Alligator mississippiensis: one gene and its partner. The protein of the gene in region 1 purifies or fractionates together with the protein of each later gene. This does not show direct contact. Links are inferred from orthologs where the notes say so. Each region holds a gene or a part of one and is shown on either strand. Other genes may lie near its edges.

Region 1 (11,498 bases):
AGGGTCATAGGGACAAGATTGGGGCCTCTTCTTGTCCCCTGTCCCCTGTCCTGCTGGCTCCACCCTGCTTCCCTCTCCTACTCCCTCCATCAGTGCCCCTCCAGCCTCCCCACCTGTCACCACAGTTCCCCACCCTTCCCAGGGCCCCCCAGCCCATACCCTACCCCCACCTCAGCGCCCCCAGCCCAGTGCCTCCTACCCTGCTCCCCATCCCATACCCCACACCCCCAGTGCCCCCTGTCCCCCAGTCCATATACCACACACCACCCTAGTGCCCCCAGGCCAGACTCCAGTCCAGTGTCCTCTACCCTGCCCCCCAGCCAATACCAGAGCAGATGGAACGGATAGCATCATGGCCACTCTCCACGAAGGAGACGAGGGCCGTCATGACACCCATGGTGGCCGAGAGTGCCTCCTCGCTGCCATAGCGTGAGTAGATGGGCTTCCCTGCCTCACTCAACACAAACACGTGCTTGCGCCGTGCCCGCCAGCCCGGGCCCCCAGCCTCCTCCACCCCACGAGAGGCTCCAGGGCTGGGGCTGGGAATGGAGCCAGGAGCTGCTTCCTCCAGGCCAGCACTTAGTTCCTCAGGACCTGTGTGGGGGGAGAGAGAGACAGGTGAGGGGGGACCCAGGCATCCAGGCTTCCTACACACTGCTCTAAAAAACCAGGCCCCACTGCCATCTCAGGGCAGGGGAAGAAGCTAGGTGCCTGGGCTTCCAACCTCCACCTGCCCTAAGTAACCAGACCTGAGCCGAGAGAGAACTCGGGCATCCCGGCTCCCAGTCCCCCTGAGGCCCCACTTCCCTCCTAAAGAATCCAGGCTCCCAGCATCCTTCCCCGCCACTGTAAGTAGCCAGGCCCCATTCTCATCACAGATCCAGGACAGAACCTGGATAGCCATCCCACCAGGCTCCACTCCCCAGAGCGGAGAGAGAACCCAGGTATCCGGACTCCCAGTACCCCCTGCTCCAACTAACCAGGCCTCATTTCCCACTAGGAACAGGAAAGAGAACATAGAAGTCCAGGCTCCCAGGCCGCACAGGCAACCCAGGCCTCATTCCTATCACAGAACAGGGAGAGAACTCGGGCATTGGGGTTCCCAATCCCAGCTCTAGGTAGTTGGGCCCCATTTCCATCTCAGAGGAAGGAGGGAACCCAGGTGTCCAGGAAGCCAGCCCACCAGGCCCTGCTCCTTTCCCCAAGCGTAAACAGTACCCAGGTGTCTGGCCTCCCAACCCCCATGCTTGCTGGGACCCACCAAACCCAAACTGAAAAATAACCCAGGCATCCAGGCTCCCAGTCCCCTCTCCCCCAGAGAAGAAAGAGACCCCAGGTATCCAGGCTGGTAAAAGTCCCCCCCCACCAGAGTGTCTCCCCCAGACACCCCTGCCCCCCCACAGGGCAAGCTCCTGCCCCCACCACCACCCCAGAGTCCTGCTCCCTCCCCACACCTCCCATGGGAGCAGAGCCTCACCTAGGGTTGGGGCCATCTCCTCCCCGGTTGCCATCCCCATATGCCAGGCAGCACCTGTGGGAGAGACAGAGGGTGGTGCTTAGTCCCAGGCTCTGCAGAGCACCCATACATCCTGGCTCCCAGCACTCCCTACTCTCACCCCCTAGCTGTCCCTCCCTTCTCAGAGAAACCAGGCATCAGGATAGGGCAAAAAGAAGCTGGCTGGACCAGCCCGCCCACATGGCAGTGGTCCTAGTCACAGGGCAAATGCTGTCCCAGGGCCCAGAGCCACACTTCCTGTCCCAAACCACATCACCGCCCGGGGAGTTTATCAGGGATAGGTGGGCATTATATGTGGCTGTTCCCACCTCAGAGCTGACTGCATCTTGGCCTTCCCCCAGCAGGGTTGTATTCAGATGTTTGCCAGATACTGTGCCCCAGAGCTGGCTGCAACTCAGCCTTCCCTGCAGTGTTATATTCAGCTGTTCCCCAGATGCTCCACTCCAGAGCTGACTGCATCCTGACACTGGGTGCAGTCTCTGCATATAGTGTTACACTCAGCCTGTTCTACCCCAGAGCTGGCCACATCTCAGTCCTCCCATGCAGTACCATACTCAGACTTTCCCCAGATACAGAACCCCAGAGCTGGCTGCAACTCAGCTCTCCCTCTACAGCATGTCAGCTATTCCCCAGCAGCTCCACCTCAGAACTGATTACAACCTTACACTGGGTACAGCCTCTGTATAGTGTTATACTCGAGCGGTTCCACCCCAGAGCTAGCTGCATCTTGGCACAGCCTGCATCTGTGGCATTACACTCACCTGTTCCACCCAAGAGCTGAATGCATCTCTGTGCTGGGCAAGGCATTATACTCAGCTGCTCCATCCCAGAGATGGCCACATCTTAACACCAGAGAAGCCCTCCTGGTGCAAAGGCTAATCCAGGACTTTCCTCTGTTTTAGAGCCCCTAAAGGGAGCGCAGAGATGCGGCCAGCTCTGGGTTGGGGCAGTTACAGAATGGCCAAGTAGAACTGCACATAAGGGACCCCTCAACACCAAAATGCAGGCAGCTCTGGGATTGTGGTGGCTGCAGACTGCTGAGTATATGAGCACATGAGGAAGCTGAGATGTGGCAGGCTCTGGGATTCAGGAGCTGGGGAATGACCAAGTATAACATGGCATGGAGAAGACTGAGATGTGCCTAGCTCTGGGGTGGGAAGCCTGGGAATAGCCAAGTCTAACACTGCATAAGAAGGGACCCTTCGATGCCAGGATGCAGCCTGCTCTGGGGTTGTGGCGGTTGTGTGTAACAGTATATGGGGGAGGCAGACATGCAGCCAGCTCTGGGGTGGAATGGCCAAGTATAACACCCAGCACTGAGATACAGCCAGCTCTGGGGTGGGGCCCAGCTGACAGCCCTTACAGCCTAGCACCACCAGTCCCTGCCCCTCAAAAGATCAGGGGAGGGCAGGCCCCCTCCACTATAGGACCATATGGATATGCCCCACATCTACAGGTGTCCCTCTCCCATCCTGGGGGCACCACAGTTACCCTCCCCCCCCAGTAAGCCCCTCCCACACCATCATCGCTGGGATTCCCTCCCTGGGGTGGGTCCCCCATTATATCACCCCAGAGGTAACCACCAGCCCTTACACCTCTCTTCCTACCTAGGGCCTGGGATACCCCCATATCAGTCACTACCTGGGCTCTCCTTAAATTAGCAGTGTTTCCCTGCCCAGGAGGTCCCCCCCTTGCCTCACCCTCGCCCCCCCCAACCCCCACGTGACCCTCCCACAGAAGCGGCCCTCCCACCCCAACATGGCCCCGGGGTACCTTCCACGTGGGTCACCCCTTACGTCAGTCCCAGGTCCCCCCTCGCCACGTGACCCTGTCCCTCACCCTACCCCAACTCCAGCCTCCCAGGCAGCGCTTCCGGGTCCACTCACAGGCAGCAACAGCCAGCCAAGGGGGCGCGGTGCGGCGCCCAGAGCCAATCAGGCGCGCCGAACCAGAAGGGGGCGGGACTTGGGTAATGTTACGGCCAATGGAGGCGCGGAGGGCGTGGCGGACGGCGGCCAATGGTGGACGGCTCGGTCCCCTCAGCTCCCGCCAATCGGAAGTCTGGGCCTAGAGGAGGGAGCCAATGGGGAGGAGGTGGGGAGTGACTGCGCCAGCTGACCTCTGAGCGGTGCGGTGACGTCATCCAGTCACGGTGTTGCGTTGTCACTTGGGTTCCTAGCCCCCTGCAGTCTTGTCTCTGCCCTTCTTTGTGACGTCGCTGTGGCACGTGATGGCATCACTCGCCCCACCCCCCCATACGCTACCCTGTGACATCATCTGTGGCCCCGTGACATCACTCTCTGGGCTGTGCCCCCAACCCCCACGAGGCCCTCTTAACTACGTGGCCTTGTGGGGTCATCACCGCACACCGTGACAGCATGGGGACACCTTAGGGTGGGGCCGTAAGGTGGCCGCACGGTGACATCATTGCCTGACCCCCCACTGACTAGCAGGATCATGTCCCCACTGTTGCCATGACAACAACAGGCCTTGGTGGCCCTGGGTGGCTGCATCTCCCACATAAGAAGGCCCCCTCCTTTCTTGGAGAACCCAAGCATCCCAGTTTCCAGTGGCACCACTCCCCTTTCACATGTGTCACCCTCTCTCATTCATCTCTCATTCATCTTTCCAGTTCCTTCCTGTAGACTCAGGGCCCCGTGACCTCCCCACAGGCTGGGGTGGAGGGGCAGGTTCACCTTTTCCATCCTACCCTGACCCCCTCCCTCAGCACCTCAGGTTTCCCCAGCTGCCCCAGAGCTGGCTGCACTTGGCCTCCTGCAGGCACTGTTCAAGCAAGGAGAGGAGGTGGGGCAGCAAGGGAACCAAGTAGGGAGAGCTGCTCTGGGACCAAGATACACCCAGCTCTGTGGTGGGTTGGCTTGCACACAGCTGCATATAAGGCCATGTAGTCAGGGCTCATCTGGGACTGGGTTTCAGCCAGCTCTGAGGTGAGGTAGGTGGGAATGGCTGAGTGTAACAGTACAAAGGGAAAGAAGCAATGCAACTAGCTCTGGAGTGGAGCAGAAAAGAACAGCCAAGTATAACAGGGCACAGGGAAGGCCTAGATGCAGCCAGCTTTGAGGTCAAGTAGCTGGGGAGCAGCTCAGTATAAAAGGGTACAGAGGTGGTCTAGATGCAGCCAGCTCTGGGGCCAGGTAGCTGGGAATGGCTGTGTATAACAGTGCAAAGGGAAGGCTGAGTTGCACCCAACATTGGAGTGGAACAGCTGGGTAATGGCTGAGAACAAGAGGACACTGGGGAGGCTGCAATGTGGACAGCTCTGGGGTGGAGCAGATGAGAAACAGCTGAGTATAACATATAGGGAGATGCAGTCAGCTCTGGGGTGGCATGGCTGGGGAGCAGCTGAGTATAACAGGGCACAGGGAAGGCCAAGATGCAGCTAGTTCTGGAGTGAAGCAACTGGGAATAGCTGACTATAACAATGCAAAGGGAAGCCCAAGATGCAGCCTGCTCTGGGGTGGGGTGGCTGGGAAACGGCCAAGTATAACATTGCCTGGGCAGGGCCACCTACAGCCAAGATGCAACTAGCTCTGAAAGAGATCAGCCACAATGAACAGCATGCAGGGAGGGGTGGTCTGCTACTGAGATGCAGCCAGCTCTGGGGTGGAACAGTGGGAAAAACCTAAGTATAACAGGGAAGGCCGAGATGCAGCCAGCTCTGGGGTGGAATAGCTGAGGAATGGCTGTGTATAATGCATATGGAGATGCAGCCAGCTTGGGGTAGAGAAGCAGGAAAAGCAACTGATTATAACAGCACATATGGAGGCTTAGAGGCAGCCAGCTCTAGGGTGGACCAGATAAGAATGACTGAATATAACCCTGCATTGGGAAGGCTGAGATCATCCCAGGTCTGGGGTGGAACAGCTGGGGAACGGCCAAGTATAACCACACACAGAGAAGGCCTAGATGCAGCCAGCTCTGGGGTTGGGGCAGCTAGCCTTGCAGAGTATGACATATGGGGAGATGCAGCCAGCTCTGGGGTGGAACTGATGACAACAGCCAAATATAACACTACATGGTGAAGGCCAAGATGCAGCCAACTCTAGGTTGGAACAGCTGGGGAACAGTCGTATAAGGGGAAACTTAGCCAGCTCTGGGTGAGGGGTGGCTGGGACTGGTGCAGTATAACAGGGCACAGGGAAGGCTGAAATGCACCTAGCTCTAAGGTGGGGCAGCTTGATGGGGGGGAGGTGAGTGACACCCCCCTCCTCCCCCGCCCTGACACCAGGGTTCCCGCCCTCCTGGCAGGCTGCCAGGCCATGCTCGGGCCCATCCCAGCAGGGCGGGGAGCAGGACTTCCTCATCGCTGTGCTGGGCGTCTACCGGTCTGTCCATCTGTCCAGGCAGCCCCAGAGCCTCCCCAACTCCAGCCATGGCCTCCCCTGTGGGGCCCCTCCAGGCCTTCCTGCAGTGCCGGGTGTGCCCTAATCCTGGGCTGCTCGAAAAGGAGTTCCAGGTGAGGCAGAAGGGGTGGAGAGGGAAGAGGAGGGGCTGGGAACCTGGGACACCTGGGTTCCCAAGCTGCTCTAGGAGGCTCTGGGAGTGGGGTTGGGGGGAAGGATTAGAGTCTGGGGGAACTAACAGCCCATTCACCTGGGTTCTGTCTCTAGATGGGACTTCTGCTAGGTTAGAGCTAGGGGGTTGGGAGACCAGGCACCTGGGTTTCCTGGGAGATGATTGGGGGCTGGAGGGTACAAGCAGGGGGACTGGGAGCCCGGACATCTGGGTTCTCTCCCTGTTCTAAGGGGAGTGGGGTTTGGGGAGGTGAGAGCCATGCCCCACCTAAAGTGCAGCCCGGCAGAATACTAGAGGATGCTGGGTTGTGTGTATGGTGAGGGGGGCACTATACTCAGCTGTTGGCCCCACTGCCCCACACAAAGCACATATTAGCCTTCCCATTGGGGTGTTATATGCAGCTGTTCCACCCCAGCACTGGATGCATCTTGGCCTTCCCAGTGCCCTGTTACACTTGGCTGTTTCTCAGCCATGCCACCCCAGAGCTGGCTGCATCTCCAGGCGAGCACTGCCCCAGGGTCTCCCCCACCAAGCCAGGGCTTCAACACCAAGCCCGAGGCCCCAGCTGAAACCATTGCAGAGAGAACGCAGAACCCACAGCCCAGCCCCCCACTCTCAGTTCTGCATTCACAGCCTGCCAGGGACTCAGGCATCTGGGCACACAACCTCCACCCCCCATTCTTACGCCCTATCCCCCAGCCTTCTTCCCACCAAGAGAACCCAAGCATCTGAGTTCCCTGCCCATAGGTGGCAGAAGGCAGCAGAGGTTCCTACCCTTTATGCAAATATATAATCTGGCTCCTCCTATATGTAAAATAGTCCTCCAAGCCACACCCCCTTATACAGATACCTCCCTTATCATTACCTGCCCTGTAACCTGCAGAACAATGGCTGCCTTTGTGTCAGGGATGCAGCCATCTCTGGGGTAGAGCCCAGCGGTGGGGGAATGGACAAAGCCTGGGAGCCTGGATTTTTTTTCCTGCTCTGGGAGGGCAATGGGGCTGGGGAGGGGGGTGCTGTGTGGTGATATACACAACTTTTCCATCATAGAGCTGGTTGCATCTGCCCAGACATTATATTCAACCATTCCCCAGCTGTTCCACCCCAGAGCTGGGTGCATCTCACCTTATGTTCTACTCAGCTGTTCCCCACCCCAGAGCTGGCTGTATCTCCCCATGGATTATGCTCAGTTGTTCCAACTCAGAGCTGGGTGCTTCTACCCACATTATATACTCAGCCATTCCATTGCAGAGCTGGCTGCATCTTGAGCCTGGCTACCCTGCCCCATTAACCCCATCCACTCTAGGGCCCGCTAACTACTCCCCTTCTTCCCCCCACAGGAGATCAAGGAGCGGGCCTGGGCCTTCCGGCAGCAAGCAGGATACAGCACAGATGCCGGCGCTGCACGGGACAACATCAAAAAGAACCGCTACAAGGACATTCTGCCCTGTGAGTGGTAGGGGGACCCAAGCATCTGGGCTGGGGTCCAACCCCCCCCTCAGAGGAGGGGCTGTCTGTTATAAGTGGCTGTTCCCCAGGGTGCTGCCTCACAAAGCCAGGCCAGCTGTTCCACCTCAGTGCTGACAGCATTTCAGTCTTCCCCATGTTGCGCTATATGTACTCAGCCATTCCCATCTGTTCCACTCCAGAGCTGGCTACATCTTGGGCCTCCTAGTGCTATGTTTTACTCAGCCGGTTCTACTTGTCCCATCACAGAGCTGGCTGCCTCTCAGCTTCCCCATGTGTTGTTTTACTCGGCTGTCTGCAGTCACTCCACCCCAGGGCTGGCTGCATCTTGGCACCAAGCAAGCTTTTCCCATGGAGCATTATACTTAGCTGTTCCCCAGCCATCCCACCCCCAGAGCTGGCTTTCTTTTGTCCCTCCCAGTGTTGTTATACTCAGCTAGTTCCACCTGTCCCACCCCACAGCTAGCTGCAGCTCAGCCCTCCCAGTGCTGTGTTATACTCAGCCAGTTTCAGCTGCCCCACTCCAGAGCTGGTCACAGCTTGGCCTCTCCATGTGCTGTTGTACTCAGCTGTTACCCAGCTGCTCCACCCCAGATCTGGGCGCACATGGAGTGTTATACTCAGTTGTCCCAGGCCACCCCATCCCAGAGCCAGCCGCATCTTAATCTTCCCTGGGCTGTATTTTACTTGGCTGTTCCCATCAGTTCCACCCCAGAGCTGGCTGCCTCTCAGCCTCCCCATGTGTTGTTATACTGCATCTTGACACCAAGCGAGATCTTCCCATGCTACTCCCATCCCAGCGAGATCATTCCCAGCTACTCCCATCCCAGAGCTAGCTGTATCTCAGCCCTCCCAGTGCTGTTATACTAAGTCATTCCCATCTGCTCATACCCAGAGCTAGCTGCATTTTTGCCTCCCCCTGTACTATTATACTTGTCCATCCTCACCCGCCCCTCCCCAGAGCTGCCTGCATTTCAGTCTTTGCTGTGCTGTTATACTTGGCTGTTCCCAGCTGTGCCACCCCAGAGCAGCCACCTCTTGACCTCCCCATGTGCCTCACAGTGCCCCAGAAATGAGCACACTCACCCCTCTGTTCCTCACTCCCAGATGACCAGACACGGGTGGTGCTGACGCTGGTGACAGAGGAGGGGCAGGGCGACTACATCAACGCCAACTTCATCAAGGTACCCCTGGGGATGGGAGGGAGGCAGATGGGGGCAAGAGGGAGGGGCTGAAGAACAAGAGACACTCATTCTATCCCCCGTCTATCCCCAACAGGGGGCTGGGACCCAGAGGTGCTACATTGCTACACAGGGGCCACTACCTCACACCCTGCTGGACTTCTGGAGGATGGTGTGGCAGTACCGGGTGAAGGTAGTGGGACCGGGACACCTAGTTTCTCTGGGAGGCAAGTGGGGCCTAGTGGGTAAGAGAGTGAAGGCTGGAAGCCTAGATGCCTGGGTTCCACCCACTGCTGTTCCTTCCTCTCCAGGTGATCATCATGGCCTGCCGGGAGGTGGAGATGGGCCGGGTGAGTTGTGGGGCTCTGGGGAGATCCCCTTCCTCCCCCTGCTCTCCCTCTTCTCCAAGGGGTTGTGAGGGGCATCTCCCCTCTCCTGGTGACTGATGTTCCCCCCCACAGAAAAAGTGTGAGCGCTACTGGCCTCTGGAGAATGAGCCACTGCAGCTGGGGCCCTTCTGCATCACCCAGGTACTCCCCAGCCATTTCCTGCCCAAACAGTGCCCTTCCCCTGAGCCAGCCACCTCTCAGCCTTCTTGGAGTGGCCTTATACTCCGCTGCTCCCCAGTGCTTCACCCCAGGGCTGGCTACATCTCAGCACCATTAGGCCCTTGTTATACTCGGGCATTCCCCAGTGGTTGCACCCCAGAGCCAACTGCATCTTAGCCCTCCCTATGTACTGTTATATATCCCAACCACCCCCCTCAGAGCTGTCTGCATCTCAGCCCTCTTGGAGTGGCATTATGCTCAGCCATTCTCCAGCCTCTCTCCCCAGAACTGACTATATTTCAGCCCTCCAAATGCAATGTTACACTCAGCCATACCCCAGCTACCCCATCTTAGGGTTGGACACATCTTAGCCTTCTCTGAATGGCATTATACTCATCCATTCCCTAGTCGTTCCACCCCAGAGCTGGCTGCATCTCCCCATTTCCTCCCCCATCTCATACCTGCTCCTGTCTCCCCTCCAGACCCAGGAGCAGCAGTTGAATCCAGACATCATGACTCGGTTCCTCTGCATCACCTTCCAGAAGGTCCCTGCCCCTCCCTTCAGCCAGCATTCTTGTTGGGGGGCATTGTGATAGCTGTAATACCCCAGGGGGGCAGCAAGGGCCTTACAGGTCTGGGTAGAGGGGGGCCCGGTGGTGGGCACTAGTCTGGCTGTAATACCCACAGCAAGGAGGCACAGTATTACCAACTCTCATGATTTTTGGCATTGTTCTTCAAGTCTACACTTCAGGAATGTGAAAAACGAGCTCTTTCTTTATATAAGAGTTGGCAGTACTGGGGAGAGGGCAGCAGGGGAGGGGGCACTTGGGAGTTCAGGGCGGGTCACTGGCCTGGTAATGTCCCCGGGGGTGGCAGCAGGGCCCTACACAAGGCAGGTGGGACGCCGGCAGAGGACGCTTTACTCGCTGGCTACAGTACCCGTAGGCGCCACTGGGGGCGCTGTGGTGCCGAGAGTGCTCCAGCTACAGCACAGCCCGCTGCCGCCAGAGGCTGCTGAGCGTTCATCTTCCGTCCCGCAGGAGTCGCGGAGGGTGACGCATGCGCAGTACCTGGCATGGCCTGACCGCGGCATCCCCGACAGCTGCGGGCCGCTACTGGCGCTGGTGGAGCGCATGCGCAGTGAGCAGGGCGCGGACCCCTCCCCGCTCTGCGTCCACTGCAGGTAGGGGCGGGGCATCAGGAAGGGGTGGGGTTATTTTAGGAAGAGGGCGTGAGTGGGCGTGGCTTCAAAGCTTTGTGGGTGGGAGTTAGTAGAGCGGGACTTGGTACAAGGTGGGAGTGGGCGTGCCTTGGGGGCGGGGCCTCGAGTGACCAGGAGGGCAGGGCTAGACTGTGCAGGCGGGGCGGGGCTTGGTGGGGGCGGAGCACGTGGATGTTGTTTGCTGGAAGGGCGGGGCCTGGTGGAAGGGGCGGGGCTCAGGTGTCTCCGTGTGCCTTAGCGCGGGCTGCGGCCGGACCGGGGTGATCTGCGCGGCGGAACTGGTTCGAGACCTGCTGGTGCAACGGGTGAGTGCGCATGTCCGGGTGTGAGCACGTGTACACGTGACTGCCTGCCTGCCTGCGTGCGGGTGAACCACCGCACACGTGTGCACGTGTATGCCAGGCGCCTGGGTTCCCCTTCCTCTACCTTCACTCTCCCGTGCCTCCTTTCCCCAGAGAATCCCCCCGAATTTCAGCCTCTTCGACCTTGTCCTGGAGATACGGAAGCAGCGCCCGGCGGCCGTGCAGACCCTGGTGAGCTCCTGCCTCCACCCTGCCCCTACAGCCACCCCCTCCCCTGCCTGCCCCCCTCCAGCTCCCACAACCCCCCCAATCCTTCCTGCTTCTTAGCCCCCGCACCCTCTCCTGCCCCCCAACCTCACCTCCTAGCAGCACGTGTCCACCCGTGCAGGAGCAGTACGAATTCCTGCACCGCACCGTGGCCGAGATGTTCCAGGGAGCGCTGGCTGATGACCCGACTGGCTATGAGAACCTCAAGGAGGTGAGGCAGGGACCCGGGTGCCTGGGGAGAGGGGACAGGCCTAGGAGACACACATGTAAGGAACCCAGGCATCTGGGGGACACACACAGGAGGAACCCAGGCATCTAGGACACACGCATGCGTGTGACGAACCCAAGCATCCAGGGCACAGACACATGCGTGTGCAAGGAACCCAGGCTTCCAGGACACACACACACACACACACGCACACACAACTGTGCGTGTGAAGCCAGGCATCGGACATGCAC
Region 2 (11,818 bases), on another chromosome or scaffold:
TCAAACCCTCCAGACACAATCCAGGCAGCCAGTCCTCCTCGCTGTGGCTCTGGGTGGCCCCTTTCCAAGCCAGCGATCTGCAGTGCTCATGCAACTAATTGCAGGGCTAATTCAGAGGTGTCAGTCAAGGACAGAGTGGAAATACAATAATTACAGCTCGTGGAGCAACAGTAGCTGCCATCCCACATACCCACACAGCCAATAATGAGGGTTTATTTAAAGAGGGCCTGGGTGCAGGTGCAGTTTAAGTATCAGTGCAGTGACAGGAAAGGGGTGCAATTAGCTCAGTGCAATTGGCTGTGTAGCATTTCTGCAATGTGCATTTCCACAATGAAAGAGGAATTTTGCTCCAGTCCAAGGCTTGCGCACCCTCACTGTAAGCAGGCCCTTTTACCAGGTCTCATTCAAAAGGAGTGGTCCTTTTGGAAAATTTGGGCTTAAGTCACCTGCCCGAGGTCACACAGGGAGTGATCAGCATTCCCAGGAAGAGAAACCCAGCTATCGCCTACTGAACTGCTACGGTGCTGCTTTCTCTGCAAGCACAAAGGGGGAAGGGGTTATTTTCCCAGAGACAGCAGCTGGCTCTAGTAACAAGCACATCCTTGCCAGAAAGCAACTTTGAGGGGAGCTTGCAGGATCTCGTCCATTGACTGTCATCTGACTAATCAAGCACAACCTACAATGAGTCAGCCCCATGGCTGCTTTCTAGCCATTGAGCAACCCAGGACGTACAGAAAACCAGCACACCCCAGGGTAGGTTTTGTTCTGCCATTTACAACAATGGAAAGCCAAGAAGGATGGCCGAGCTCATGCAGGCTGCCTCCATCCGGAGCTCCCCTGAGAGATCAACCCCTGCATTCATTTAGCCGGGCATAAGCAAGAGCCCTGCCAGTGTTATCACGCCCGCCCTGTTTCTGCACTCGACCGTGAGTGTCTAGGGACATACCCCAAGGATCGTAATGCTGAACTACTCTGAACTACTCTGCAGGTTCTTCCCCAAGAAGACTGGTCTCTCCATAGGGGACTGTGGGAAGGCATTGGAGGTCTTCAGTGATTTAACCTTTGTCCTCACTGCCCAGTGGAAGGGTCCAGCCCAGGCAAAGCTCGGTTATGCCAGCAGCTCTCCACCTTTTTAGACTCAAAGCCCCCCTCTTCGGACTCAAGGCACACTCCATAACTTCTGCGAATGGAGCGGCACCCAATTTCAAAGACGAATTTATATATTACCAGGCTTGCCTCCATGCAGAGGGGCCAAGTAGTGGAGATGGGGGATTGGCGGAGCAGTGACAAGCCTGAGCCTGCTCTTATCTCCTTATCTTCTCACACCTCCCTTATCACTAGTATTCAGGCTGTAGCCAGGCTAGAGCAATTAGGACTCTAGTAGAGGTGATATCTTTTATTAGACCAACTAGATTTTTGCAAAAAGGGTCTTGAAATGCAAGCTTTCAGGCAAAAACACCGTTCTTCAGGCATCGGAGAAAAGATTATTTTGCAAAAATCTTATTGGTCTAATAAAAGATATCACCTCTACTGGAGTCCTGATTGCCTTTCCCTCTAGACCAATATGGCTACAGCCAGGATACCTGACACATGGAAGATATTGAATTTTTAGCCATTTTTTTAAATGAAATCTTCATATTTTCCCAAGCAGGAAGCAACCATGACCACCTGAAACCTGAGCTCCTGCTCCTGCCTTTGTTTCAAGGTAATTTGCATCATCACAGATCCTAGCAGGAGGTGAGAGGCTCCATGCCAGCAGCCATGAACAGGCTGCCCAAAGGAGTCTTCCATCTATTGACTCCTCTGTGAAACCCTATGAAATATGAACTCTCATTTCTACCCAGGAGAACTTTTACAATCTTTTCTCCAATGCCCGATGAAGGGTGTTTGTGCCTGGACGCTTGCAACTAAAGAATTGTTTTTGCAAAAATCTTGTTGGTCTAATAAAAGATAGGATCTCTACTATGAGTCCCAATGGCCTTTTCCTCTAGACCAATATGGCTACAACCTGGATACCTCCCTTATCACTAACACTTCAAAGGATCTGGCAGAATCCTGGTTGGGAATCACTGGGTTATGCTCCATGGGGGGTGAGTTAGCTCAGGTTCAAAGCAACTCCAACCTCATAGCTGCCATTTTTGTGTGGGTGACAAGTGGGTTTAAGCAAAATCTGGGTAAGGGCCTGGGTTAGCTTTGTGGTTAAGGCATTCCCTAAACCAGGGGTGGGCAATTATTTTGGGCAGAGGGCTGCTTACTGAGTTTTGGCAAGCCATTGAGGGCCGCATGACAGGCAGCCAGAGGCAGATAAATATTAATTTTCTACAATTTTTAGGGGTCCCACGGGCTGGATAGAATGGCCTGGAGGGCTGCATTTTGCCCACCCCTGCCCTAAACAGCTCCCTGGAGCTGCAGCTACCCATACGATTTTACTGCACACATCTGTGAGGTTAACCTAGGTCATGTCAAGCTGAAGGGCATAACCCCCTGCAAAGAATGATCTAGAGGTAAAAGCAGAACATACCAGGGGTCACATTAACCTGAGCAAAGATCCCAGGCCCCTACACTAGCTCCAATGGTCCCCAGACCCATCTCCAGCTTCTCGGCACCCTGAGACTGGAACAGCCTCTAAACTTGAGTAGAAAGCCTAGAAGATGCTGGACCAGGGAAAGCCCCTTCTCCATTGACCTGCAAGGCAGGAAGCAAGGGCACAACACTGGAGCGCTGAACCCCATAGAGACTGAAAACATTGAGATGGATGCAAAGTGAGATGGACATTAGGCCATTCAGCTCCAAAACACGACGAGCTCCCTAAGGAGCAGAGCTCATCCCCGTCTTGTGATTTCCGGGGCAGTCTCTCCGTGGGAGATGCAATTCCCATTCGAGCCTGGAGAGGCCAGTGGAAGCTGCGGCAGGAGCATGGTGACGATCCTGCGCATGGAGGTGGGCGAAGAACATGATGTGAAATCCCCAGGCTGCTCATTACAGGCTTTTAAATAGCAACACAGCAATTAGCCACGTCACTGGCTCGTTGCCATTGTGCACAGCAGATCTGCCTCTTCTTTCCTTGAATCCGGCCTGGCAAGTTGCTAAAAATAAAGCTGTCATTGATGAGGGAAGATAAAGCCGGCTTCTGTTCTATCTCCACACCGCCGGCGTAAGGATGTCACAGGACTCCCTGGGATTTGGCACCAGGCTGGGAAGCCAAGCTGTTGGATTGGCCATTGAGTCCATCGGCCTCTCATTCCTCTATACAGATAGAGAAACATTGGCCCAGAGCTCCACATGTGGCACTTTGTGTGCTTTGTCATGTTGCAAGGACAGGCACCGAACTGACCAATTCCCCCATTGGGTTCTCTGTCTTCCTTTGAAGGCTGGGACTTTGCTGGCAGTGTCTATAAAAAGGGGGAGCTTTCCATAGCTCAGGTGTGCCAATCCACAGCACGTAAGCCATAAGCGGCACAGGCGGCCTCTGTGTGGGGCACATAGGAGACTGGGGAAGGAGCAGGGAACAGAGCGGCAGATAGGGCAGGAAGCAGAAAGCAGAGCAGCAGATCATCAGGAGAAGGGGATGTAGCGCTCCAGGAAGGAATGGGACTAATTTGTGGCACACCTACCAAAAAAGGTTGGTCCCCACTGTCATAGCTAGATGTGTGCATAGGCGGATGTAGGACTGATTGCCTAAAAGGGGTGCAGGAGCAGTGACTGGCACTGCAGGGGTGCCTACCCCCCCTGCTTCCACCCGGGGGTGGCATGTAAATCAGATCAAATAAACAGATAAATCCCCTCACCAATCTGAAGGAATAATGATTCCTCACATACACTCACTTGGGCTTTGGGGATGGCGGGGCACATTGTTCAGGAAACTGTAGTCTCAAGTGTAGTCTATGCCTGTCCAAGAGTTGGCAGGTGCCCTGGGAAGATTACCAGTAATGAATCTAGCCTGGCTGCCCAGTTTGCTAGCAGTACCCAACATAGTGCCAAAGCAGGATTTTTTTCCTACACTTGCAAACCCACCCTGGGAGTCATGACCCGACAGAGCTCTCTCTGCCAGCCAGGAGGAGAGAAACCCCAACCAACTTGTCTTACTGCAACCCCAACTAGCATGTTGGGGACAGACCCAAAAATGCCTAATTGTGGATGTAAAGAGGTAGGGTCATTTCATGGTAGGGATGATCTTGTGCTAAAAGCACAGTCCCTTTGTCCATCACTGAGGGACTTGGATGAGACACTGAGGTCCATGTCTCCATAGATCTGGGCCTGCACTCTCCTCACCTGAGCTGTCAATACGTTGGTGATTATTTCTAGCAGGGGGATGTCCAGGAGCCCCTCTTACAGTGTTATACTGGCTAGAGCCAAAATAAACACACAGCAAGAAGACAGCCCTTGCCCACTAAAGGGGTACAGCCTCAGCACTGCCTTTCTCCCATTCTGCTCATCTTATCCATGTGCATTGTAAAACCCAAGAGGCAGTGTCTGAATATACAGCACCTAGCACAGTGGGGCCCTGATTTCAACCAGAGGTTCTAGGTGATGACCCTGTTAAAAATAATAATCACCAGCTTCCAGCTACAGTAACAGAGCCCACGCTGGCGACCTTCCCAACATTCAGGAAGGCTTTTCAAGAGGGTCTTCTCCAAGTGGCCTGGGGTGCCAGGCTGGTGGCAGGGCCCCTGGAGTGTTTGATGGTGACTTTTAGTATATAGAGAAGCAGAGTTGTGCATACATTAACTTGCTGTCCCGGGGGCAGGTTAAGCGGGTGTCCGTGTCACCATTTTAGAAAGGAGGTGGCAACGGCAGAGTTGCTAAGAAATCGAAGTAAGTCGCAGAAGGCGCATCTGAGCTGAGACTAGACTCCAGGGGCCGCTTGCAGTCACTCTCCTCCCCAATCAATTGGCAATGTTACTTTTTTGCTGTTCTTCCATCTGGCCCATTGGGAGAAAAGTCCCAGTCAAGCTCTTTAACCACTAGTCAGTCATCCCTCCCTAGCAAGCTCCAGTGATCAAGTCACCTCAGTTTACATTTTCCAGGTACCACGAGGAGAGGGGTTGAGAGCAGGCTGGTATTTCTTGCTCGCTAAAAGTGGTGGGATCCTGAAGTCTTCATGAGCCCGGCCGGGCATTATCACTGCATTAATCAAATGGGGATGCTAATGGATAGATGAAGTAAGAGACTTGGCCAGGGTCACCGAAAGAGTGAGTGGCAAAGCCAGGAGCAGACCCTGCATCTCCTAAAGCCAGGTCTGCGTCCTATTTTCACACATCATCTGCACACACACCTGGCACAGGTGCATTTGGAAAACAATCAGTCTGTCTGTACCCTCAGCGGTCATTGTTTTTCCTAGAGCCTTTCACTCCTCCCCTTCCCCCAAGCACTAGGCGAGACTCTTACCTGCATCTGTGGTGCCATCACCTTGCAGAGAGTTTTCTCCAATGGGACAAAGCTGCTCCAGAAGAAGTCCATGTCTCCTCTTCTCTCCGTGCCTGCCAGCTCTGAGACAGCTTCCCAGCTAGCAGATCCAGTGGGACAGGTAGAGACATGTGTACTGGCAGGACCTGCTCTGAGGCAAAGAAGTAGGAGGGGCACCGCAAAGAAAATACTGGCAGGAGGCATCATCTGGCAACATGCTCCACTGAGAAGTACCTCCCCAGAGAAACCCAGGGCACCCACATAGCAAACCATACACACGGGATACCACATACTGCTCTTCTCCACGTGCAACTTCTGGCTCTCGCAAGCTGGCAAGCTGCATAGCTTTGGGACAAAGATTGCATCTTTCTGTGCCTCAGTTTTTCCTACCAGAAAAATGGATGTAATGGCACTTTCTTGCTTCCCCATAGAACTGAGTTCATCTTTATAAAACACTCTGCAGAAGAAAACGTTGCTGATACCATCTTCAGAAAGGAGGAGTCATTGTGTCAGCCTCCAAATCAGGGACATTCACCTAGTTCCTGCCAATGCAGCAAAAGCTATCTGCCCGAGTCTTCTTTCCTCGTTGAAAAAACCTTTCCTCTCGAAGACAGACACTAGCAACGCTCTTGTCCTTTCTGCTCAGCAAACCCCAACCAGCCAACCAGAAAACTAAAACAAGGGTAAAAACCACATCACCCGGCAGAAGGTTTAATCCAGAAGGGAAGAAGTGCCAGAGATCCCAGGATGTCCACCAGCTACTTTGCTATGTCCAGCAGAAGGGCAAAATTCACTACAGAAACCAAGGGAAGCAATTACATTCTCCCAGTGAAGGAGAGAAAGGGGAAAAAAGAGCAGGTTGCTTGTTTCCTAACTCTCAGGTTTGCTTTGCACATGGATGTTGTACTACTATAACTATTTGAGTTAGGGGGTGCTAATTTTGACCAAAACATTTCCAGAGGTACAACCTTTTGTGTGAATGTATTATGCTGGTATTAAAGCATCTGGCACTTAAATACTCCATGTGGGAGTAATTTATATTATTATCACTGTATCTGCACTACCCAAAGGGGTGTATTCATCGTGCTGCTGATCTAGCGCATGGCTTACAACATTCCTATGAAGGAAAAGCTGGGAGAGGCTCAGTTAAAGGCATAGTAAAACAACCCCCAGTTTGCAAAGACAAGCCCAGGGGGCTGCTCCAAAGCCCACTGAAGTCAATGAGAAACTTTCCATTCGTATTTGGGGTCTCACTGGCTTTTATACACCATGTCAACCTCAAGAGTTACCTAATTTAGATACCTAAGCCCCTGTGTGGCCATATACTGAAAGGGCCTGAGTGTGTTTGGCACCCACAAATCCCACCGAGGTCATGGGAGTGGAGGGTCTCCAGTACCTCTGCAGATCAGGCCCTGTTTTTACCGAGACACCTGGATTTGCTTGGTGAGAGTATGGATAAGTGTCTGCAGTACGTATTTTTAGGGAAAGTGTCTCTACAACATGAAGAAGGTGAAGGTTGAAAGAGTCCAGTTAGCGGAGCCCAGCTGATAACCCACAGCCCCCACAAGACCCGTTTTTGTCGGGTCATTCTGAATGCCTACCCTTGTCCGTGCATCCATACACCTCCCTCTGGTACCCACCTCCTTGCAAGCTAATGTTCCCAGCACACGAGCAAGGGGATGAATCCTTGGGCATGTGCTACACAGGAGGTTAGAGCAAAGACTGTAGGAGGGTCCTCGATGGCTTTATCATCTAAGATTTCCTGTGCCTGTTCTTCCCATCAGCCCAGCCACATCTCCCAGTGCTTCTCCTGGTCCTCTGCACAAACTCTGCCTGCTCCAGCAGCGCTGATATGGTCAGATAGGGCATAGCAGCCACATCTCCGGGGGCTCTGGGTTGCAGGAGAGACTTGGGACTCTGTGCCACAGACCTCTCCTCAGCCAGAGGGTGGGAGACACTGCTTCCTCCATCCTCAGCCTCCCTGTTTTTCTTCTAAAAGTGTATTCAGTGGATGGGACACACAGAGCACTCTCCCCTAAGAGAGGATCCTGCATCCTGGGATACTGTGAAGGCTGCTACTGGGATGTGCAGGGAGGCACTTGGTCCTCCCTAGGCCTCACAGGCTCCCCTTTCCTGTGCTGAAGGCCCTGGCATGTCTGCGCTCCTGTAGGGAAACCTGGCAGCTATTCACAGAATATCTCATTTGTTTCCTGTCAATAAATAACCTGTGGTTTCCTTTTCTGTGACATTCTGGACTTTGAATTTATTTAAGCTGAGGTAGGACTGCCCTGTCTCTCCACTGTGGGTAAGGCATGTGCAATTTCAAGGGAGTGGATGCCACCGCTTGGACACTGGGTTGGTTACGGAGAACTAGCTCTGGCTGCATCCACGGCACAACTACACAACAGCGCAAGAAATGAGACTCATTTTTCCTCCCCATCACTCCTATGGCATGGTTAAAGGATATCAACTCTAAGCCAGAAAGAGGCAGGGATAGAGGGAAGACCCAAGTTGCACCAACCCTTGGAGCACAAGGCAATGTCCAGTGCTCCCAGATCTGTGCCAAGCCCTTATGCAATGCCCAAAGGCGGATGGATGGTCCTTCCTGACCTGCCATTTAAGAACTAGGTGCATTGCAGTCCTGACATAAAGGAGCACAAAGAAGGGCACCCACGGGCAGGGAGCACCCCAAGGGTGAACTCAGCACATCACCTCCTTTCACCTGCCCCTACCTGCCCCATGTGTTGGCCATGGGAGCAGCACTGGCATGGACTGCCCTGCCTGGGGGTATAGCAGTGGATGGGCACCCTCCGGAGATGTATGCTGGGAGTCATTGCAACTCCTCCAAGTATCTTACAAACAGAAAAGCCCGCTCTCAGGTATGGTTCAGACAGAGTCTTAGGTTGAGTCACCTCTCAGCCAACTCAAACCATAAATGCTGCTGCCTCAGAGAGATCTCTCTGCAACGCCAACCCTTGCTGCAGCACTTGGTGCGCATAACCTAGTGAGTGGCTCATCGTCGCCCACAGACCGCACTTCATTTTTCCATCTGAGATCAATATAACAGAAGTCTTTCCATTCTTGATCTGCATCGAAACACAAGAGAACTAGACAGATGGGATCTGCTTATGCAGAGGATGTTGTAAAACAAGGCCCTCCAGACAGCACTAGATTTCCCAGCCAAGTGTCCTTTGTTATTTGAGAAGTCATGAGCCGACTGTGTGGTGCGTGTGACTGTGCTGGTGGTCAGGATTGTATCATGCCATAATTTCATATATTTCCTCTTCATGTTTCTTGTGGGCCGTATTGGTTTTTGGGGGGGTTTTTTGGTTGGGTTTTTTTTTATTTGGTCCATCAGGTTCATGAAGTTTGGTCCGTCTGGTCCCTGTCTGGAAGTTTCAAAGGAAAAGTCCAGATTTTCCAGGACAATCCCAAATTGTAGGGTTGTGCCTCAGAGTTCCTAAGGAATGCCTCGAACAGAACATTTGTCCCAAATTAAAAAAAAAAGATGTCCCTAGATTGGCTGATCCAACCTCTTTCTAGAAAGGTCCCACACCATCCTGTGGAAAATCAGCAGCAGCCGGTTGCATATGGCACCGCACAACACAGCTAGACAGCTTCTAGTTTGGAAGGTAGCGATGGTCTACCTCTTGTGCCTGAAGCAAGACAGTCAGGCTCCCCCAGAGCCGTACCAGTGGTCCTGTGGTTACGCTGGGTGGAACTGAGAGTGAGATAAGCCGTTCCTGTTTCCGGAGGTCTGTGGAGGGTCCTGGCTTTTGTCCCCTCAAAGCTGGCCACTTTAAGCAAAAGTTGACTGTTCTTCTTTAGGCCCAGATCCAACCCCAATGAACAGACTCCCATGGAATGGAGGAACAAAGGACTGGAAGGGATCTCCTGCGCCATGGAGTTCGGTCCCTTGAGTTTCCAGCTATTCATTCGTTCCGAGAATCCCCAAAATTGCTGCTTCATACACCCACGCCCACGCGCAAGCAACAGTAGCCAAAAATACCCTATAACATGGCATGGGGAAATGAGATCCTTGCTAATACCCTGTCATTGCAATGACAGGGAAGTCATTAGTTGACTTCAGAATGACCTGATCCAGCTGTTAATGTGGAGCAGTAATGATCATGCTGTAAGTAGGAGGAAGGTAATTGTTACAGGCAAACAGTCAGGCTCTAGGGTTCTCTTCCTTTCTCATCTACCACAGACCGAGAGTCTGGCCTGAGCTAAGTTGCTTAACCTTGGCTAACTTGTCTTTCCAGTGAGGGTCACAGTGCGAGCTTTCGTCATGTCTAATGTGTGCTGAGGTGTATTCGTGGGAGATTGTCCTGGTGAAGAGTGCAGGACTGGGGACTTTGTCATCTGCTGAACAGCATCACTGGAGCCTTATGGGGTCATTGATCAGGTTCAGCAAGACAAATAGGGACTGCCTCCTTGGATGCATATACATGAGCCCAACTCAGACCTGAACTTCCCCTCTGACATAACTCTGTTCTTGGTAGCAGGGGGGCAGCTGTAATGTATAGGGGCTAGGGACAGACATTCAAAAAGCTGGAGCCTGAATTGACACAATCTTTGCAGGTTAGTCTAATCTGGCTTGGCTAAATCACTTGGTAACTGCTCAGGCATGCCAGACATGCAGGCACATGCCTGCAGTAGCTCAGGCTAGAAGCCCAGGGGTGCCAGAGCAGCCCTCCCTTCCCTTCCACAGGGCTGAGCTAAGGCGGGGAGGGCATGGCCAGGCCCCGGCAGGACGCTTTGATTAGGGAGGGGTTCCCCACCCCCCCGCTCCTGACCAGCCCAGCAGGGAACGGATAACAGTGCTTATCACCCCTCAGTGTTTGTCACCCGTCAGAAAACAAAGCCTCTCTCCATTAGTTCAAGCTCTCTTAAACGGTGTTTCCAAGGAAGGAACCAGTCTCCCACAGCACGGACCGTAGCCAGCATGTGGTCTGCTAGGGGAAGCCAGGAGGGATGCCTGCAGTCTGTGCAGGAGCTGCAGCCAGGGAGCAGAGGGAGAGGACAGCCCTGCTGTGGAGCAGAGAAAAGAGCCCTGCCAGCCCAGCGAGCATGCCTGGATGCTAGGGGACTCTGATTTCACTTCAACCAGCAAGGAGTCTGGGACAGACATTGCATAAACCCAGGGCTGTCCTGGGGGTGGGGGTGAATTGGGGCAACCGCCCCTGGGCCCTGCACTTTGGGCAGCCCCATGGAGCTGGGTGGAGCGGCCGTGATGACTCCGTGCTGCTGCCAGCTTCATGTCCAGCTACTCAGCACACCTCCCGCCCTCACCGCCGAATCTGCCACCGGCTTCTTTGCATCCGGAGATGAGGCCTCACACAGGCTGATTTGCCCTGGGCCCTGCACCCTGCTCAGATCATCGCTGCATAAATCGGTTTGACCCAAATGGGTTAAGTCTGATACTACATTCAACCAGGTTTATCTCAAACCAGTTTCAGTCATTTTCAAACTGGTTGATGTGCACTGAACATCTGTTCTGTTACAGGTTTAGTCCAGTTTCTGATCGCTTAAACCGGTTTATGTGTAATGTCTGTCCCTAGCCAGAGTGTCTGGGGGCAGCTTTCACCATTGCTACTGCTGCTGATTCGACACATCCTGCTTTCCACGGTGTAGAAGAGGCCCCTTGTATTTCAGGTTAGCTTTCCAACCTGAAAGCAACTCTTCTTGTTTCAGCTACATCCATGTGCCAGGAAAAGGCCTTTCAATGTTTACTGTTAAACAGAAACAGGATCCCTTATCTCTGCCGGGTGCAACCTGAGTGCATAGTTCTCCCTCCAGGCTGGGCTTTCCAAGGGGAAGGTCACTGAACTGGAAAGCGCTCTGTCTACTGCATTCGTGCTGATAGGGACTTGACCTTCGCTGCTTTCCCTGCTCCTGGCATCATACAGCCCCGTGCACCTATCTGTCTTCACCTACCTGGTACGCTCAGCCTCCTGCTGAAAACCAAGCCTCTCCAGATGCATCTTTCCCCCAACCCCTCATTTGCCCAGCTTACTAGTAATCCCACAGCCTCTCCAAATAAAAGTTGGGGTTTTTTATTTCTTTTTTTTAAGCCATTCTTTTTTTTTTTTTTTTGGTTTGAAAAACAGCTCATTCCAAATTGTAATATTTACAAGTAATAGCCCTAGGATCATAAACATTTTTTGACCCCTTCTGCCATTTTCTTCTGCAATTCTGTTTCATTTACTAAATCCCCAGTGGTGAGGAAAATGAAAAATGTTGACAAGGGAACCCATTGTAAACCCCGTGAGACAAAAATAACTTCCTTTTTTTTTCCTCCGTTTTTCAAGTACTCGTGTTCATCGGACACTTGACTTGTTTGCAATGCAAGCTTTCTGGGGCAGGGAATAAGACTTAGTAGCAGCAGTAAAACTGGATATTACAGTTA

Evidence for each region.
Region 2: the proteins of PTPN18 (region 1) and PSTPIP2 purify together in Homo sapiens (affinity purification with mass spectrometry; 4 studies listed by BioGRID and IntAct, with this or other methods). This does not show direct contact. The link is inferred for Alligator mississippiensis from reciprocal best matches to the Homo sapiens genes PTPN18 and PSTPIP2.

What each region holds. Positions count from the first base shown.
Region 1 is NC_081831.1:27,549,844-27,561,341, forward strand, and holds the start of PTPN18 (tyrosine-protein phosphatase non-receptor type 18), read left to right. Parts: upstream 1-5,819; 5' UTR 5,820-5,909; coding exon 5,910-5,993; intron 5,994-7,392; coding exon 7,393-7,501; intron 7,502-8,605; exon of another isoform or gene 8,606-8,626; coding exon 8,627-8,703; intron 8,704-8,797; coding exon 8,798-8,893; intron 8,894-9,011; coding exon 9,012-9,050; intron 9,051-9,161; coding exon 9,162-9,230; intron 9,231-9,730; coding exon 9,731-9,793; intron 9,794-10,288; coding exon 10,289-10,431; intron 10,432-10,708; coding exon 10,709-10,775; intron 10,776-10,925; coding exon 10,926-11,003; intron 11,004-11,160; coding exon 11,161-11,250; intron 11,251-11,498. Other genes in the region: MON1B (vacuolar fusion protein MON1 homolog B), read right to left, coding at 328-594, 1,478-1,517. UniProt on the Homo sapiens protein: Differentially dephosphorylate autophosphorylated tyrosine kinases which are known to be overexpressed in tumor tissues.
Region 2 is NC_081826.1:291,735,002-291,746,819, reverse strand, and holds the start of PSTPIP2 (proline-serine-threonine phosphatase-interacting protein 2), read right to left. Parts: upstream 5,478-11,818; 5' UTR 5,461-5,477; coding exon 5,389-5,460; intron 1-5,388. UniProt on the Homo sapiens protein: Binds to F-actin. May be involved in regulation of the actin cytoskeleton.